3 linked regions of the Arabidopsis thaliana genome follow. The protein of the gene in region 1 purifies or fractionates together with the protein of each later gene. This does not show direct contact. Each region holds a gene or a part of one and is shown on either strand. Other genes may lie near its edges.

Region 1 (7,052 bases):
GTCTATAATCATAATAATTTAATATCTTTAATAACACCATACCAACATATATGAACTTCATACGTTAAAAAATAACTTGAAAGAATCACAATCGTTATAATTTACCGTTTATTTTTCTTCCTATCATTTTATAAAAAACAACTATATTTTCTAATTGATCGACACACATTTCACCAGCTAAATTTGTTATGAAATCAACATGTTAGAGGATTTGTTACAAATTTAAGGTTAATAGTGCTCAAGAAAATATTTAAAAATATAGAAAGAGTGATGGTTGAAGTTCTTACTTATGATAGGTTCATATGTTGAATTAATTACTAATTATATTTTACTTATTTTAATAAGTCTAGGTGGCAAGCTCTCATGTGCTGATGTGTCAAGTTGTGGGAGAGAGTTGAGCTCCTTTCATATATATAATTTACGTTATATTTTGCCTCTTAAGTTTTGTAGTGACCATCATAATTTCTCTTTTGATGTCTTTGTGGGCAAATGAGGTAATCTAGAAAGAAATTACATGGATGAAGATGATATAGAACATACGAGATCTGATGAATGACAGATTACTATAGTTTTTCTTTTCCCTAGTTAATGTTGTTAATAAGGGGATAATTTTGCTAAATTTGGTAAAAGTACATGAATTATATATGATATGTGATTTAGTCAAGAAAAATTATGTGAACCTGATTAGATTTTACCATGTCTCAGGTTTTCAAGAATGCAATTTTTATTTCCATGGACTAGTTGAAATAGTTACCTATAAAATATCTTATGACATAAATCGATCTAGATATGATCTACATACAATTAGAACGCTTAAACGTGGAAACTTAATTGATGATATGCTTTATGGTGATCAAGAAGAAGATATCAACAAAGTGTTGAGATACTAACAAAAATAGTTTTTTTTTCTTGTTGTTATAAATATTGAGTCAGACTTTAAGTTACACGTATTTGCAAACTATAGTTTTGTGTTAGTTTTTTTGATATCAACACATTTCTATTTATTTGGCAACAAAATACTTTTCATAAGAGCATTTCTATGTCATATATTATAATTTATGTGATAAAGATAAAGATCACGATTTCCCGATTGACAAAGAAAATCTTATGAAATATGGAAAACATGATATGAAACACATCATATGTTTCTCATTCGTCAAGTATTTTTTATATGATATATAAAACTTTCTTTCTTTCTAGAATCCATGGCTCTTGTATAAGGTAGATTGTCTAACTCGTTACTCTAGATAGTATATTATATGAAATTTGTTTCGTAAATATTTTTCCTTAAGATTGGACTACCAATTATGAAGTAATATTTTAACTAATGTGTGGTTGACAAAATATAGAAAAAATCAAGAATCCAACCACATGTTGAGAAAAAAAATTTCTACTTCAAATACACTTACTTATTTTTATTATTTAGTCAACGAAATATTAATTTATTTATGGACATATTTTTAAAAATACCATAAAATTAATTTTTGTTATAAAACATTATTAGTAGTTTATATTTTTTTGAAAGTACCACTAAAATATATTATTTTCTGAAAATACCACAAAATTACTTTTAAAGTTTTCAAAACTAGATCCTAAACTCTAAAAAATAAACCCTAAACCCCAAAAAACTTAACTCAAACCCAAACATTTAATAAATTATAAACCCTTAAAATCAACTTTTTGTGTTTCAAGTATTTTTTGGGTATCTCTCTAATTTATTTATTTATTTCAGATTGCTCAAAAGAATAAATAAATAAAAGAATTTGGCTGTCTCATTTCCTTGTTCGGAATCGGAGAAGAAGGAAGACTAGATTCGATGTGTTGGTGAAGAAGATCTCGACTTTGTTCAAAATTCCAATTTCGCTCGCCTCAAAGATCATTCTCTCATCTTCTCGACTTTGATGCGATTGATTAAATATGGTGGATACGGTTATTCCCGGAGATATGGCTTGTTTGGATGCAGATTTGTTGCAGCTTCAGGAAATGTCTTCCTTTGTTCTCAATTCTAAACCTGGATTCACTCAGAAGCTCTTCGACCAGTGGCTTTCTCTTCCCGAAGCTCAGCGACAGGTTTCTGCTTTTTCACTATTCTTACACTCATGCTTCTTAGCTTACTCTCTGTTAGTTCGAATCTTTCTTTCGTAATGTTACAATGATACTTCGGTTGCTTACTTACTCTGTGGTGTTGAGGATTGGTGTAAAGTTTGAATCTTTCTTTGATACTGTTAGTGGGTATTACAGTGATGCCTTAGGTGGTTACTGATATTTGGTTGCTTAATTACTCTCTGGTTTCTGTTGAGGATTGGTGTAAAGTTGGGATCTTTGATAGTGTTAGTTATTACAATGATGCTTAGCTTACTGAGAATGGTGTAAAGTTCGAATATTTCTCTGATTGTGTTAGTGAGTATTATAATGATGCCTTAGGTGGTTACTTAGATTCGGTTGCTTAATTACTCTGTGGTGTAAAGTTCGTATCTTTCTTTGATAGTGTTGGTGAGTGTTACATTGATGCTTAGGTTACTGAGATTTACTCTGTGGTGTTGAAAGATTGGTGTAAAGTTTGAATCATTTTTTGATTCTGTGAGTTATGACGTATATTCTTATTTTCTTATGTGAGTATTACAATGAAGCTTACGTTAATGAGATTTGTTTGCTAAATTACTCTGTGGTGTTGAAGATTGGTGTAAAGTTTGAATCTTTCTTGGATTGTGTGAGTTATGACAATGATGCCTTAGGTGGTTAATGAGATTTGGTTGCTTAATTACTCTCTATTCACTGGAATCTCTAGTCTAATCTTTTTCTCGTTGGTTTTCTAGGTTGGATCATTGCTTAAGGATGCTGTAGCTGGAGCTCCTATCAATGTTACTGGAAGTGCATCGGGTTCTAATTCTGCCACTATACCATCTATGTTTCCTGCGGGAAGTGCTCCTCCGCTTTCACCAAGGAGTTGTGGTTCACCCCGTACAACCAAACAGAGAGCCCCTTCTAACTTAGGTTCTACTCTCAAAGTAGTCAACGAGCCTGTTAAAGAGCCTATACCTCAGGTTTCTTTTCCTCTTTTTCTTCCTTCTTTATATATATATAGTAATGGAATGGAGTTAACTCACTGATTTCTTAACTTGAAATGATTCTAGTTTTATTTCCAAAATGGTCGCCCTCCACCAAGCGAGATTAAAGAGCAATGTATGTTTAGAATCAATCACTTCTTTTATGGTCACATGGATGGCTTGCAGATACAAGGTTAGAAGTCAGTCATTTGTTTTCTACTAATTATATTTGAACTGTTTATTAACTTTTTTCTCCATTTTCAATCAATACTCAGAATTCAAGTTAGTCACCAGAGAAATCTGCAAGCTCCCATCTTTCTTCTCCACTTCCCTTTTCCGGAAGATCGATCTCAACAATACAGGTTTTGTTACTAGGTGTGTGCCGCTTCTTCTATGCTTTTTTTTTTTTTGTATGGTGCTTCCTCTTCATGTCTGCATAGTTTACTGAAACACCACCCAGTATAACAGTTTTTCGTGTTTGTTTCTACAGAGATGCATTTATTGATTTTTGGGTAAACGGGAACATGTTGATAATGGATACAACGACCCAAATCTTCAAGATACTAAAGCAGAAAGATCAGAGTTTCATTGTTAAGGTTATTTTCTTTTAAGATTTGCATATTCAGTCAGTCATGAGAGCGAGTTTATTATATTCCAGATTCTTTTCTTTTTTTCATGGCAGGATGATTTCAAACCACTACTCAAAGAACTGTTGGCGACGCATCCTGGGCTAGAGTTCCTGCAATCCACACCTGAATTCCAAGAAAGATATGGTTAGGTCTCAACTTTATTTACATTTTTAGTATCCTAAGTTATCTCATGTTTTCTTTTTCCGCTTGGTATTGCTTGAGTAATGGTGTTTAGTAATTGAGTTTGGTTGTGCATTTTATTCTTTGAAGTATATTGGTAGCTACAGCCCTAGTTGAGAAGAATGAGTGAATAAGTTTGCCACTTTGGTATGATGTACTTATCTAAATCTGTCAGATGGTTACCAGATCAATAGTATTTCTTCTTGATATTGCTTGAGTAATGGTGTTTAGTAATTGAGTTTGATTGTACATTTTATTCTTCGAAGTATATTGGTAGCTACAGCCCTAGTTGAGAAGAATGAGTGAATAAGTTTGCCATGTACTTATCTAAATCTGTCGAATGGTTACCACATCAATAATATTTCTAGTGAAATAAATAATTTTGATAATTGATGCATCGAGATACAGTAATAAATGTGGCATTACTCTGTATGGATTTTAAAATTTTTATAAGATACGGTTTCTTTGTTTTGTTGTGTTAGACATCATCTTATAACTTGCAAATCCATAAAGCTTTCAAGCACGGAATGAATCATCTTCAGTCTATGAATCCTGCAGATATAATCAATATCAGAAAAAATAAATTCTGGAGCTTGTTTATGAATCATGCGTCAGTTAGTAATGAATTCCCGAGAACACTTTGATTGCTTTCTAGATATCTGGAGTCCATATTCTTTGGTATTTGCTGCTACCGGTATCAAAGCTAAATTTTTAAGGATGCTTTTCTGTCTGATACAATTTGTATTTTGCTGAAACAGCTGAAACTGTCACCTACCGAATATTTTATTACATAAATAGATCTGGCAATGGTCGAATTACATTTAGGGAGCTTAAACGGGGAAACTTAATTGATGCTATGCTACATGCTGATGAAGAAGAAGATATTAACAAAGTGTTGAGGTACTGACAAAAATATTTGCGTGCTATTGTTGTATTTATAGTATTGTTTTTGCTCATTTAACATCACTTTTCTATTCACTTTGGCAATTAGATACTTCTCGTATGAGCATTTCTATGTCATATACTGCAAGTTCTGGGAGCTGGATACGGATCACGATTTCCTGATTGACAAAGAAAATCTTATGCGATATGGAAACCATGCTCTTACCTACCGGATTGTCGACAGAATATTCTCCCAGGTTCTGTCTAAAAAACCTTGCTCTTTAATGCCTACTACTTGAAGATTTTATTTATATTGCTTCTATTTTAAGAGTTCTTTCCTCGTTCAAAGTTATTATTGCTCTTAAGATGCATTGGTTTCTTCTCAGGTTGCTAGGAAGTTCACTAACAAAGTTGAAGGGAAGATGGGGTATGAGGACTTTGTCTATTTCATTCTTGCGGAAGAAGATAAATCGTCAGTGCCTAGCCTAGAATATTGGTAAGTTGTGATAGAAGGGTCCGAAAGTTGCAGACAGATACCATTTTAAGTCTTTTATCTGACACAAGTATACGTTGGACTAGGTTTAAGTGCATAGACTTGGATGCAAATGGGATTATTACGCGAAATGAGATGCAATTCTTTTATGAAGAGCAGTTGCATAGAATGGAGTGCATGGCGCAAGAGGCTGTTCTTTTCGAGGATATCTTATGTCAGATGATTGATATGATCGGACCTGAGGTTCAACAATATATCTCTTGTTTTCTTCTTTCTATATTTAGTATAGTCACAGAAGTAGTTTGTGTTCCCAGTTTTCTTTCTGAGTCTTGTGATTTTGTTTTGTGTTTGATTGTTTTTTATTTCCTTCCACAGAACGAAAGCCATATAACGCTGCATGACCTGAAAGGCTCAAAGCTCTCTGGAAACGTCTTCAACATCCTATTTAATCTCAACAAATTTATGGCATTTGAAACCCGGGATCCATTCCTCATTCGTCAGGTACTAATCATCTAATTTACCTTGCTACTTCTTCACACCACCACATGCGTCTTATAACATTTCTAATGTCAAACGGAAACAGGAGCGAGAGAACCCTACATTGACAGATTGGGACCGTTTTGCACATAGAGAGTATATTAGGCTATCAATGGAAGAAGATGTTGAAGATGCATCTAATGGAAGTGCTGAGGTTTGGGATGAGTCGTCGCTGGAGGCTCCCTTTTGAGTTCATAAAGGTAAGTCAACGGAAAACCGTAGTGTCTAGAAGATAAAACTAGTGGAAAAGGATTAGAAAAAAAAGAAACTGAAAAAACTTTGATGTTGATGCTTGTGCAAATGTTATTATTTCATAATATAACTTAATCATGCAGAAGAGAAATGTAAAGTCCCTGAGAAGAACATTTGGAGCTTTGTTGAGGAAGGAAAGTGAAAAACAAACGAAAAGCCGGTAGTATCCTCTGTTGAATACCATACTTAGCTTGGATTTGTTTTCTAACTTCTCTTTATTTGTTAGCTGATTCTACAGTTATATTTATTAACAATCGTCTAGATTTTACAGTCTTCTTCACCTGTATTGCATTCACTTTGCTCTGATGTTTCTATCTCTGGGTGTTACTTCATCATCTCCAGATGTTGAGACTTGTGAATTTCAATGCTATAGTTCCTTTAATTTTTGGTTGGTTCCTGAAGACACAGGATGTCACTGAGATGAGAAGAGGTTGGTTGTGTTATTACTATTGATCTTGAAGTGATGTCTTTTTATTTGTGAAATTCTTAAGGAAAAGCCACTTTGCTCTGTTCAGTTGATCTTCAAATCTTCACATCGGAATCGGTTTAGTTGGTTTGCGGTTGCTCTGAACTGTTTGTCAACCAAACCTCCCTTTATTATACTGAAAACTCTTTGTGCAACAGATGAAGAAAAAAGGAGAGGAGTCTTATTATGTACATAGTGTGGAACTCGCAAAGTTACCAGAACCGATCTTTATTGACACTGAGATAACCAGACATGACTTTCCCACCCGTATTCCTCATACCATCGATGAGGAAACACCAAGTGGAACCCAATGCTCCGACGAAGAAATCAGCTTCTGACGCCATTAAGAAGTTAACCAGAGGATAGTTTGTGCTCATCTCTCTCCCGAGGCTCGCTTCATACTCAGCCATCGACTTATTACCGACTTGTCTTGCCACTTCCGTGTAATAGAATCTCCAGTGAGCATAATCTTTACTTCTGTCCACCACTTCCTTCATCTCTGTAGAGAGCCAGATCCTGTTGAGCTCTGGAAACCGATCTCTGATCCGATCAGCTAAATGCATGTA
Region 2 (5,538 bases), on another chromosome or scaffold:
CAGGTTACGAAAACATTGCTTGTGTAACATCAGGGCTACAATCTGTAAAACCAGGTTTGATCCCATTTGGTTTCATCTAAGATCATTTCTTGAGGGGTTTTGGAGATAGTTTGGTTTGAGAAGGATAATGAATCGGATTTACTGTTGTTGCGACTTTAGGGACATTTGAATCCGTCGGTTCCACTGAGTTGCAGAATGCAGGCAAAGCAGGGCTTATCACAATTCAAGGCAAGATCTCAGCAGTCTTAGGGACAGTACTCGTCTGTAAGTTTAATTTACATAGAGCTGAAGAATATAGAGAATGTTGTTTGGTCTTTCCTTTGGTTATGAGTAAGACTTTGTTGAACTTGCAGGTGCTTATTTGTTCATACAGTTCTTCCCGGACCAAGCAGAGAAGCTCTTTCCTCCAACAAGCTAAGACAAGACAAAGAAAACAATTGAGGCAGACATGTTTTCACATTTTCTGCCTGTTTTGAATGTGATGCTTAAGAGAAAATTCAAAATATTTAAAATTCCCAAGTAGTAGTTACTAAAAGATTTATATATATGGTATTGAGAAAAGTTGTTATAACAATTGAAAGAAATCAACAACAAGACAAGATGGCTTAATGTTTTTCAAGGACAAAAACGTGGATATTTAAGACTAATAAATACGATAAAAGCAGAGAGAAACCTACACACAAAAAAACAGAGCTTTAGGAGTTAGAGAGCGTGCTGTGCAGTTAAATTCTGATGTCAAACGTGCTAGCAAATCTCTGAGAAGGAACGGATCAAGAGAACTCTACAGTGACTCTGACATTTTCAATCGCCATTGGTCTTAATCGCCTTGTAGGCAGTAAAGTTGCCGAATATTTCCCGTCGCTGTCACCAAAAGAAAGAGATACATATAGATCATTGGCTGGCCAAAGGAGTAAATGAACTAGAATGGGGATTTTATTTGATTACCGTATAGCCAGTCTTTGAAATACATGTGGAACGCTGTAGTGAGTTCTCGTTTTCGGTTTTCTTCGAGAGGTGTTTCTCTCAAGGATTGTCTTGTTTCCTCTAAGTTCTTAAGCTGCTCAAAACCAAAACACAGTTAAGGGATCAGATGCTGAAGTATGGATGAAAAAGAAACGAGCAATTTTATGCGGAAAGCAAATAAAAAACATACGTTTGTCTGCTGCACTGCCTTATATGCATCTGGCAATGGAAATGGATTGTCTTTCGTGGAACCAATCGCCTCACCCGCAAACCAGTTTGGGATCTGAACCAGAGACATTGATGTGAGAAATTAACCCACGAACACAATCTTAATAACCAATATCACTAGTTACTAGAGGAAAATTAAACTAACAAAAAGGGGAATCTAACCAAAAAGGTAGTGAACTGGTCAGGGTCCACACAAGAAGCCGGTTCAGCTTGTTTATCAGAGGCACCAGTCGGATGTGATAGTGAGTCATGCGGATCAATTGCTCCGAGCGCCAAGGATTCGTTCCATTTGTTGATAGTTGGCTGAATTCCTACCTCGGTTATGTGCTCCTCCAAGTGTGAGTAAAATGTATTATATGGAGCAACCTGGAACAGATAACAGTCACATTGATGCCAACAGTTATAGACAACACATCAGAAGATGTTTCCACTTAACTCAGTTGAAGAAGTGACTTTAACAGCATGCTCAATTTTCCAAACACCAGGAACCATTAATACGATCATGACTATACCAGGATATTAACACAGGAAAGATTTAGCCTAGAGTTAAAAGAAAAACTGTAGTCTATTTATTAATTTCAGCTGAATATCAGGGCGGGAAAGAAGAGTTATGTATGCAGCTCAATCTTAAATAGACATATCACCTGTAGTTTGTGGTTATCACCAACTATAAGAGGTCGCTGATTGACTCCCAAAAAGAACACACATTCACGGCAATTGGCGATGCAAATTCGTTTGGTAGCTACAATCACATGAACTCTCTCACAATGCTCAACTTTTACTGCCTGCAAAGAACATAAAATATTATCACTGCATTCTAACCTGAACCTCGCTAACAAAGACTAAAACAGAAAGGAGTATATTTGCCGTACCTTGCCAGCAGCTCCCAGAACGATAGTAGAATCAGAACACCCATACACAGTTGCATATCTCAATGGCGCTAACAGATAAATAACAGAATCATGGCAATTGGCAACCTGCAGAATACACAAAACATGCAATTGACGTGCATACATGAGTAAACGAAACTAAATGAGGGATTGCTGTTTAAAATGCAAATTAGTTGTTCAATACGGACCTTCACTGATCTACCCTTAAGATCAGAAGCCTGCTTGAAAAGTGAGGTCTTAGAGACTCCCTCAATAATACATGGACCTCTGTCGTTAGATGAAACTTTATTAAGAGCTACACTAGAATCAGCCATTGCAGCATTCTGATCAGAGGCATTAGATGCCCCATTTTCTTTCCCAGAGATTCTGTTAGAAATGCTTTCTAAGGCGGAAGCTATGTCTTTGAGAAGCCAATCATTCACTTGGGAAGCAGGAACGGGGACAGCGGGCATATCAGGATCAGAATTCGCAAAAAAAGGAGTAGCTTGGCTTAAAGAAGGTACATCAAATCCCTTATCACCATAATGAACAAGAAACCCAATGTGCTCCAAACTCTCCATAGACAGGACCTGAGGAGGAGATTCGGACCATCTAGCATGAGATATTCGTTCTTTTCCATTTCCCATAATATTGCATCACAACATAAAATTTTCTATCCATCTGATACAAACATAAAAAAAGTTTAGCACATACCAAAGAATCATCTCCTTGTCCCTCCACAGGCTCTGCAAGGAGAGAAATAATATTTGCAATGTGCTTTTGCAGATACGATAATTGATGAGCTTCTTCATCTGTCGGTGATGGCATAAACCGACGGCTGTTGCTACGAACAAGCTGCAAGATGATGAAAGGAAATTTAACTTAAACTCAACAGCTACAAGGATGTCTCTACCCATATGATAGAAACAGTAATGAGAACAATTATCGGTAAAATATTTCAAATATCAGACAATCCTTTTCATATGTTTCTGAATGATAACGTAATATTATTTAACTTGCATTGCAAAATTATAGTAAAATCCAATGCAAAATGAAATTTTTTAAACCAAATAGATCACAAGATAACGTTTTGAGCCACATTACATGATTAAGAGAATAAAAAAGCTTGCCTGAATTGGAGATAATGCCGACAAGTATCCATCAAAAGCAGAAGTCGAAGGCCAAACATCAGCCACAGAAGCAGAGTCTTTATGCGTCCTAGGCAATAACTTCTTATACGATTGAATGTAGAGAAACAATATCAGATCCCTCAAATCAGCTCCCACGGAATCAACTTCCTCAGGTTTGGCCAAAACCAATGGGTCAGTCTCGCAATGGAGCACCGAAGAGAGAGTTTCGAGAACGAGGCGCGCATGGTCATCGGAGATCGAGAGTGCATCGGAAATGGCAGCAGATCCGACGCGATGATTCGTCGCCAAAGAAGCTAACTTTTGCTTGATCGGAGCTAGAGTTTGAATCGGGTCGGTAAAAACGAGCTTCTGGATCGGAAGAAGGCCGTGCTCGAAAGGAACACGTCTTGGGTGGATTATTAAATTCGAATTTTGAATCGGGTCTGGGTCAGGTGGTGGTGATTGGTCGATGAGCTCTTCCGTCATTATGCTTTAAACCAGAGAACGAGAGAAAAAGAACTGTTATGAATGAAGTTGCAGATCTTTGAACATAGGAACAATTGTCATCAAGAAGAAGAAAAAAAGAGAGAGAGTGTTATGTTACAGTGTGTGCAACCACATGCTATTATCCTACGCCTGGTGATGAACAATGGGTCAAAAAGGCCGATATTTAAATGGGCTTTAAACGGCCCATTAAGTAACGCGATTAGTTTCTTCTCCGTTGTAAACTGCGACTTTCACCGGCCACGAGATTAAGTCGTTGTCAATGGATGATTTGGAAGCTTACTATTCTCACTATAATTTACCGGCGATGGTTCCTCCTCCGCCGCCGGGAGTTTCTCCGATTCCAATTACTTCAGCTCATTCCGTCTATTTGCCTACCCATGTCTCAATTGGAGCTCGCGATGAGGTTAGGACGCTTTTCGTCGCCGGACTTCCTGAAGATGTCAAGCCTCGGGAGATCTACAATCTCTTTCGTGAGTTCCCAGGATATGAGACTTCGCATCTCCGGAGCTCAGATGGAGCTAAGGTAATCATTTTCTATCTCTCCGGATTTGTGATTTGGGTAATGATGTTTCCCGGCGAAGAGACTGAGAATCTTACTTTATTTGTTTGGTAGCCCTTCGCATTTGCTGTGTTCTCGGATCTGCAATCAGCTGTAGCGGTGATGCATGCTCTCAATGTGAGTACAAATTTCTTCAAACTTGCTCTTGCAATGTGTCGCCGATGTATCTACTTACAAAGCATTAAGTAAATTTGGTATCTTTATGGTTGTTCTTAATTCAATCTAGTAAATTGAAATCATTCGGTTGGGATTTGTATGCGTAAGTGAATAAGCTTTGTCATTTGCCTAGATTAAGAAACTTTCTGAATTTTATTTCTGAACCTTTCAGGGAATGGTGTTTGATCTTGAAAAGCATTCTACTCTTCACATTGACCTTGCCAAATCAAATCCCAAATCTAAGCGTTCAAGAACAGGCAAGTAGTAGGATTCTTTCGGTTCGGTAGCTCAATAAAAATTTGACCTTTGCTATTGTTGTGTTAATTTTTATTTTGTGATTTTTGTGATATGGTAGATGATGGTTGGGAAAGCTTGAAAAAACTCAAGTCTTGGAACACTACTACTGAATCTGGTAAGATCATTGGCACACACCTTCATCTTGAGGCTTCTTGTAACCTTCTGTATTTTATGTTTCTTGTAACTGAATGTTTGTGTAGTATATATATTTTCAAACTTCCAATCTTCATGACCATCACGCTCATGCATGCTAGCTCTTTTTGGTTTAAGATTTCACACTTGGGCTTTAAGTGCCGTCAACATGGTTTCACGTTTCTGAAAACTCACACTGCACATTCTTGCACGTTTGGGCACTAGCAGGTTTTGGCAGCTTTCAAACTCCTGGAATGAGTAGTTCTGCTTACAACACAATTGGTTATTCACCTGCACAAAGGTCATCTGCACTACTTGAGCACATTTCTAGTTCCTTGTGAATGCTTAGATTCTGTTTCTTTGTTGCACACTCTTTTCTTGTACCTCTGCCTTGAAAATCTGACCTACTTAAGGATTAGCTGAACTAGTCCTAGCTCACATGTCTAGATACTGGTTACGAGAGTGCTTGTTCTTTCTTAGCTATTAGCTCACGAAACTCAGGGTCTCATTAAATTCTTTTTGCTCGTTCAGTCAAGGAATTGCTAATGTTGCTGGGAGGGCACCGACTTCTAGAAAACCTGTAAGCTTCTGCCTATTTTATACTTCATATGAGTATTGTTTTCTGTCTGGACGAAAAACAGTGAGGTAAACTATTCTTACCAGTGAACATGACAATCTTTGTTCCTTTGACAGAGTA
Region 3 (5,929 bases), on another chromosome or scaffold:
CGGGCTGACTTTTGCTGCCATTGGAGGTGTTCATTGGTGTTGAACAGTTGGTGCAGAACTTTAGAGCTAAGAGAGATTTCTTCAATGGAGCACACATTACAATGACTAAAGTAGCAAGAACTCATTATTAGCTGGATCCTGCGCTCATGGATATCTCTGTTCCATCCCATGTCCTTCTGTTTTTGTATCTTGAGATGTTCATGTTATGTTGCATTGTTTGGATGTTTCTACGAATATGAGATTCTGCAAATATGAGAAATTTTGGAGCTCTAAAACTTCTTCAGAAATTTGCACCTACCATGGTAGTAGCCTAACTCTTGCGTCCACTTAAATCTATTTGACCAAGACAAGACTATCTATCAAAACAGTTTTGCTTACAAGTTATAACTTATAACAATTCAAGTCATCATGCTCTATTTGAAGATGAGATTTTCAATAGAGAAGGGAACAAAAACGATGGATTGAAATGTCAAGGAAAGAAAAGCAGAAATCAAGAAAACAATAATCTAAACGAAAGCTTTAAGAGAGTATTTCTGTGCAGATAAGTTACGTTGTGAAGTATTGGTTCCAAACTACAAATCACTGAATCAGGCTGATTTCTCTTTTTTCTTTTTTCTTTTGGTCTTGGGGTGGGGTTTCTTCACTAGCAATATGCCAAATATGATCGAAGGAGCTCTACATGAACAAGACACTTTCCGCTTGGTCTATTATTCTTATTAGTCACCTTGTAGGCAGTAGAGTTGCCTTATATTTCCAGATGCTGTCGCAACAAAAACATAGACTAAGTCAAAACCTAATGAATGATGCATATCAATAAAGTAAAGTAGGGATCGATTCAGAGAAAGTTTTCTTACCGTAAAGCCAGTCTTTGAAATAAACATGGAGTGCACTTGATAGCTCTCGTTTCCGGTTTTCTTCTAGAGGCGCCTCTTTTAACGATCGTCTTGTTTCTTCAAAGTTCTTAAGCTGATGACAAAAAAAATTGCAGATACAAGATCAGATATGGACAAAAATAACAAATGCATTTGTTTATCTGGTTAAGTATAACTTTAAAACATACGTTTCTCTGCTGAGCTGCCATATAAGCATCTGGCAATGGAAATGGATTGTCTTTCGTCGAACCAAGCTCCGCGCCGCTAAACCAGTTTGGGATCTGTGCCATTGTCATTGATACCACCGAAAAACACGTCATTAGATGCTTCATGACACTGAAAAGCATTCACCAATTATTGACGTAAATGTTAGACCCAAATAGAAAATGTACCAAAAAGTTTACGAACTGGTCAGGGTCTACAGAAGCAGCTGATTCAGCCTGTGCATCAGCAACACCGGCAGGATGTGACAGGGAGTCATGTGGATCCACAGCTCCCAGGGCCAATGGTTTGTCCCATTTGTTGATCGTTGGCTCAAGCCCTACCTCCCTCATGTGCTCTTCCAAATGAGAGTAAAATGTATTATATGGAGCGACCTGAAACAAAGTCAAATTGATGCCAGCACTTTAAAAATAGAAGCCCATAATCACTAGAAGCAATATCTGACAATGCCCGCACTCTTAAAAACCAGTAAAACCTTCTTGAGGAAAACATTTGACTAAACGTATCTAGCAGCAGTCTAGCCACCCCTCCAAGTTTGTTTCCACTAGACTTGATGACGTGTCCGAAACGGCTTATTAACCAAACTAACCAAACTAAATCTAGTAAAAAGTCTAGCCACTCAATTTTTTTTACCTTAATATCAGAAAGGTAAATAAGAGCAACATGACATAAAACTTGTAAATTAAACCACAATCTTAAAGAGAAGCTTCACCTGCAGTTTGTGGTTATCACCAACAATAAGTGGCCGCTGATTGACTCCCAAGAAGAATACACATTCACGACAATTGGCAATGCACACTCGTTTGGCAGCTACAATCACATGAACTCTTTCACAGTGCTCAACTTTTATTGCCTGCAGAAATAAATACGGAATTATGTTTGATACATCTTTTAATAAAAGTTGGCAGATATTATAACTTGTTAAATGTTGCTTTGACTATCTTCAGAAAAGATAAAGAAGGAAGAAGCATTGTTTCCATACCTTGCCAACAGCTCCCAAAACTATAGTAGTATCAGAACATCCGTGCACAGTTGCATATCGCAATGGTGCTAAAAGATAAATTACAGAATCATGGCAATTGACAACCTGAAAAATACACAAAACAAGGAGTTGACATGCTTGCACAGAGATTCCATGACTGGAAGAAAAACGGAACAAGGAACAGTCAGACCTTCACAGATCTACCCCTTAGATCGGAGGCTTGCTTAACAAGTGAAGTCTTGGAGACTCCCTCGATTAAACACGGGCCTCTAGTACTAGGTGCAACCTTGTTCGGAGCAGCACAAACATCTGACATCGCATCATCTTGATCGTTAGAAGGTCCGTTCTCTTTTCCAGAAATTCTCTCAGTAATGCTTTCTAAAGCGGAAGCTATGTTTTGCAGAAGCCAGTCATGCACTTGGGAAGCGGGGACTGGAACAGCGGGCATATCCGGATCAGAATTTGCAAAAAAAGGAGTAGCTTGGCTCAATGGAGATACATCAGATCCCTTATCACCAAACTGAACAAGAAAACGCAGATGCTCGAACGCCTCCATAGAGAAAACCTGAACGATATTGGACAAGAAAAAAAAAATTAACTTGTGTTCTCTTTCATTTCCTAAAAAATTCTTATTCCAACATCAGAATTTTATATTCTTGTAGCTTAGAACAGTGACACCCCCTGAGAATATAAGAAAGATTAGAACTTACCAATGATTCATCTCCTTCTCCCTCCACAGGCTCTGCAAGGAGAGAAATGATGTTTGCTAAATGTTTTTGCAGATATGACAACTGATGAGCTTCATCATCTGCCTGTGATGGCATAAATCGACGGCTGTTGCTGCGAACAAGCTGCAGAAATGATGAAAAGGAGATATAAATAACAATTTTAGCTCCAATAAAGTTGGTTCGACCCATGTGATGAGAAACGATAGAATACCAAAGAACAGTGACTGTAGAAAACACTGAAAAGCTTAAGATTATATGACTGTTTTCTAAAAGACTCAATAGAACATCCATACCACACAGGAAACAGAATATTACAGGACTGGAGACCCGAGTCAAAATTCAAGAACACACCAAGCATTATCACCAAATAAACCACGTGAAAGGACCAAACAAAATAAGGTACAACGGAAAAAGAATCAGATTCCGAACCACAAAACAAAGCAAGCTGGCGACTGTTTGACTTTAGTTAGTAAACTAACCAATTACCATTGCCCCAGAGTCATCAGAGAAAGGGGACTGGCAATTAAATACAAGTAAGCATCTTCCTCATTGAGAATTGTTACGAAACTATAGCCACCATCAATTCAATTAATCACCCAAATTTCCGACATTGCTTAACTCTAAGTTTCAGGTAAATCAAATGACTCAGAAAACTTAAACTTGCATTGCAAATTTTAGTTAAATACAATGCGAAATGGAAATAAGTTATTCTCTACCACGTTCCAATTCCATACTCGAGTACAACAGTTCCATTTCAATACCAAACAAATCGCAGGCGCTGGGATTGAGGCACATTATAATAAGAGGGCCAAAAAAAGTAAGAAACTTGCCTGAATTGGCGATAACGCAGACAAGTATCCATCAAAAGCTGAAGTCGATGGCCAAACATCAGCCACCGCTGCGGAGTCCTTATGCGTCCTAGGAAGCAACTTCTTATACGATTGAATGTACAGGAACAAAATAAGATCCCGCAAATCAGCTCCGACGGAATCAACTTCCTCAGGTTTCGCCCGAACCAGAGGGTCAGACTCGGAATGAAGCACCGAACCGAGAGTCTCGAGAACGAGACGCGCATGGTCGCCGGAGATCTGGAGAACGTCGGCGATTGCAGCCGATCCAACGCGGTTATTCGAAGCCGCATCGGCTAGCTTCTGCTTGACAGGGGCTAAGGTTTGGATCGGGTCGGTGAAAACGAGTTTCTGGATCGGGAGGAGTCCGTGCTCGAAAGACACACGCCTTGGATGGATTACTGAATTCGGATTCGTGCTCGAGTTTGGTTCAGGGTCGGGTGCTGAAGGTGGTGGTGATTGGTCGATGAGGTCTTGTTCTTCAGTCATGATTGATTCGTCGCGCGAGGTAGAGAGACAGAAGAGATAGAGAGAGACTGGTCCGGTGGTGAAGTTGCAGATCTTTCTTTGGGTGACGAATCATTTCATTGAAGGAGAAGAGCAGAGAGAGAGATGGTTACAGTGCGTGCACGTGTATGTTAGTAACGTACGCTTCGTTTCTTTGGTCGTTGGATTTACGAGTAGATTAACCTTTGATCTGAGCTATGACACGTCAGATGAACGGAGATAACATGTTAACTAAAGAGGCCCATTTGAGAATTGAATGCAAATCGCATTTAAGTTTTAGTTAGGCCATTGTTGCAATAAGTTAGGTCCTAAGCGTTCGTCAAAAGGAGAAAAGGTGATCATCACAACTCATAATTAGGTTTTACAATAGGGAAATATACTTGGTTACCTAAGTACTTGTAAGTTGTCACTGTTAATTAAAATTGTTAGAAGATTAGTGGGAAAAAGAGAGATAAAATTGGGAAGTTTAGGCCAAAAGAACTCATAACTCGCTTTCATTGCAATTTAAATATTGTCCGCTTGTTTAAGGAAAATGGTTTGCAATGGGTAAACATCGTTTAAATGAGACGGTTATGTTTTTTAGCAGTTACAGAAAAAGGCGGGTAGAAAAAAACGGTTAGAAAAGATGAACAACCTAAAATTAAACCAATTGGTAATATCGTTTAAATAAGGCGGTTATTTTATTTAACACTTACAAAAAAGACTGATAAAAAAAAACGGTTAGAAAATATATTAAAAGAAAAAATGATAAATAATTTAAAATGAACCGTTAAATAATAGTTATGATTAGTAACAAACGGTTAAACAGTAAAAAAAAAAAACTAAATTAAAATATTTAATAAATAACTAAAAATATTTAAAAAACAAAGAAAAACAAAACTCTTTAGTAAATAATTCAAATACATTACAGTTTTAAAAATCTAAGAAACGTTAAATAACTAAAATATTCCAATGGTGAACAAGAGAGGTTGCAAACTCACCTATTTTGTTTAAGCTTTTAACCGTTTGTTTCAATCACCTATTCTTACCACTCGTTTCATCCGTCTATTGCAAGCAATTATTTGATTGGTAATCAAACTAACGGTTGAATTTATCGCCGTTAAATAAATGTTATCAAGCTACTATTGGAATTCGGAAAGGGAACACTATCAACTTTTGGATTCTTAGGTTATCTCATTCATTCAGCTAGCTCAATATTCTGATTTGATTTGATTTGATCCGTTTCGATTCGGTATTTGATTTAATTTGATTCGAAAAATCCGAATATTCGTAAGATTTTGGAGCAAAGCAAATAGAAAAATATAGTATTCGTAAAAATCGAATCAAATAATAAATATTGTTTTTTAAAAAATCGAATATCCGCTTCGATCCGTATCTTTTTATATATATTAGAAAATATAGTATATCTATATATAGATATCATAAATAGTTTGTGTATTGTTGTCATTTTATGTTTTTATGTTAAGATGTTTGTTTGATCATTTTTTTTTATGTTATGTTTTGATCAATGGCATCAAAAAACTATCGGGTTTTAGTTTTGGAATTAGTTTGATAATATTTTGTTGACCGGTGATACCAACAACGGTTATGTTTGGTATTTAGAACTTATTTTAAAAGCACACGGAGACACCAATTAAGGAACGCACGGATAAATTTTTTGAATATATGATATAGTTATATAGTATACATATTTTTTTAATATTTAAATGTATCAAAGCGGATATCCGCAAATATCACAAAAAATTCCGGATATTCGAAATTCCGGATATC

The links.
Region 2: the proteins of AT5G28900 (region 1) and AT2G42230 fractionate together in Arabidopsis thaliana (co-fractionation; one large-scale study listed by BioGRID). This does not show direct contact.
Region 3: the proteins of AT5G28900 (region 1) and AT3G57890 fractionate together in Arabidopsis thaliana (co-fractionation; one large-scale study listed by BioGRID). This does not show direct contact.

Annotation. Positions count from the first base shown.
Region 1 is NC_003076.8:10,923,935-10,930,986, forward strand, and holds AT5G28900 (Calcium-binding EF-hand family protein), read left to right. Parts: upstream 1-1,700; 5' UTR 1,701-1,917; coding exon 1,918-2,070; intron 2,071-2,816; coding exon 2,817-3,044; intron 3,045-3,134; coding exon 3,135-3,240; intron 3,241-3,322; coding exon 3,323-3,422; intron 3,423-3,537; coding exon 3,538-3,643; intron 3,644-3,729; coding exon 3,730-3,820; intron 3,821-4,614; coding exon 4,615-4,756; intron 4,757-4,847; coding exon 4,848-4,995; intron 4,996-5,124; coding exon 5,125-5,234; intron 5,235-5,317; coding exon 5,318-5,474; intron 5,475-5,606; coding exon 5,607-5,732; intron 5,733-5,814; coding exon 5,815-5,958; 3' UTR 5,959-5,968; intron 5,969-6,103; 3' UTR 6,104-6,528; downstream 6,529-7,052. Other genes in the region: AT5G28910 (alpha-(1,6)-fucosyltransferase), read right to left, coding at 6,699-7,052.
Region 2 is NC_003071.7:17,592,888-17,598,425, forward strand, and holds AT2G42230 (C-CAP/cofactor C-like domain-containing protein), read right to left. Parts: upstream 3,779-5,538; 5' UTR 3,677-3,778; coding exon 3,191-3,676; exon of another isoform or gene 3,011-3,190; intron 2,916-3,010; coding exon 2,775-2,915; intron 2,651-2,774; coding exon 2,270-2,650; intron 2,169-2,269; coding exon 2,064-2,168; intron 1,977-2,063; coding exon 1,836-1,976; intron 1,698-1,835; coding exon of another isoform or gene 1,692-1,697; intron 1,558-1,691; coding exon 1,354-1,557; intron 1,247-1,353; coding exon 1,154-1,246; intron 1,058-1,153; coding exon 946-1,057; intron 862-945; coding exon 818-861; 3' UTR 524-817; downstream 1-523. Other genes in the region: AT2G42220 (Rhodanese/Cell cycle control phosphatase superfamily protein), read left to right, coding at 1-54, 160-264, 354-418; AT2G42240 (RNA-binding (RRM/RBD/RNP motifs) family protein), read left to right, coding at 3,957-4,220, 4,311-4,373, 4,585-4,669, 4,768-4,824, 5,070-5,142, 5,373-5,421, 5,535-5,538.
Region 3 is NC_003074.8:21,436,483-21,442,411, reverse strand, and holds AT3G57890 (Tubulin binding cofactor C domain-containing protein), read right to left. Parts: upstream 4,329-5,929; 5' UTR 4,142-4,328; coding exon 3,635-4,141; intron 3,124-3,634; coding exon 3,016-3,123; intron 2,928-3,015; coding exon 2,787-2,927; intron 2,642-2,786; coding exon 2,267-2,641; intron 2,182-2,266; coding exon 2,077-2,181; intron 1,948-2,076; coding exon 1,807-1,947; intron 1,469-1,806; coding exon 1,265-1,468; intron 1,154-1,264; coding exon 1,061-1,153; intron 967-1,060; coding exon 855-966; intron 761-854; coding exon 717-760; 3' UTR 524-716; downstream 1-523. Other genes in the region: AT3G57900 (import inner membrane translocase subunit Tim17/Tim22/Tim23 family protein), read left to right, coding at 27-131.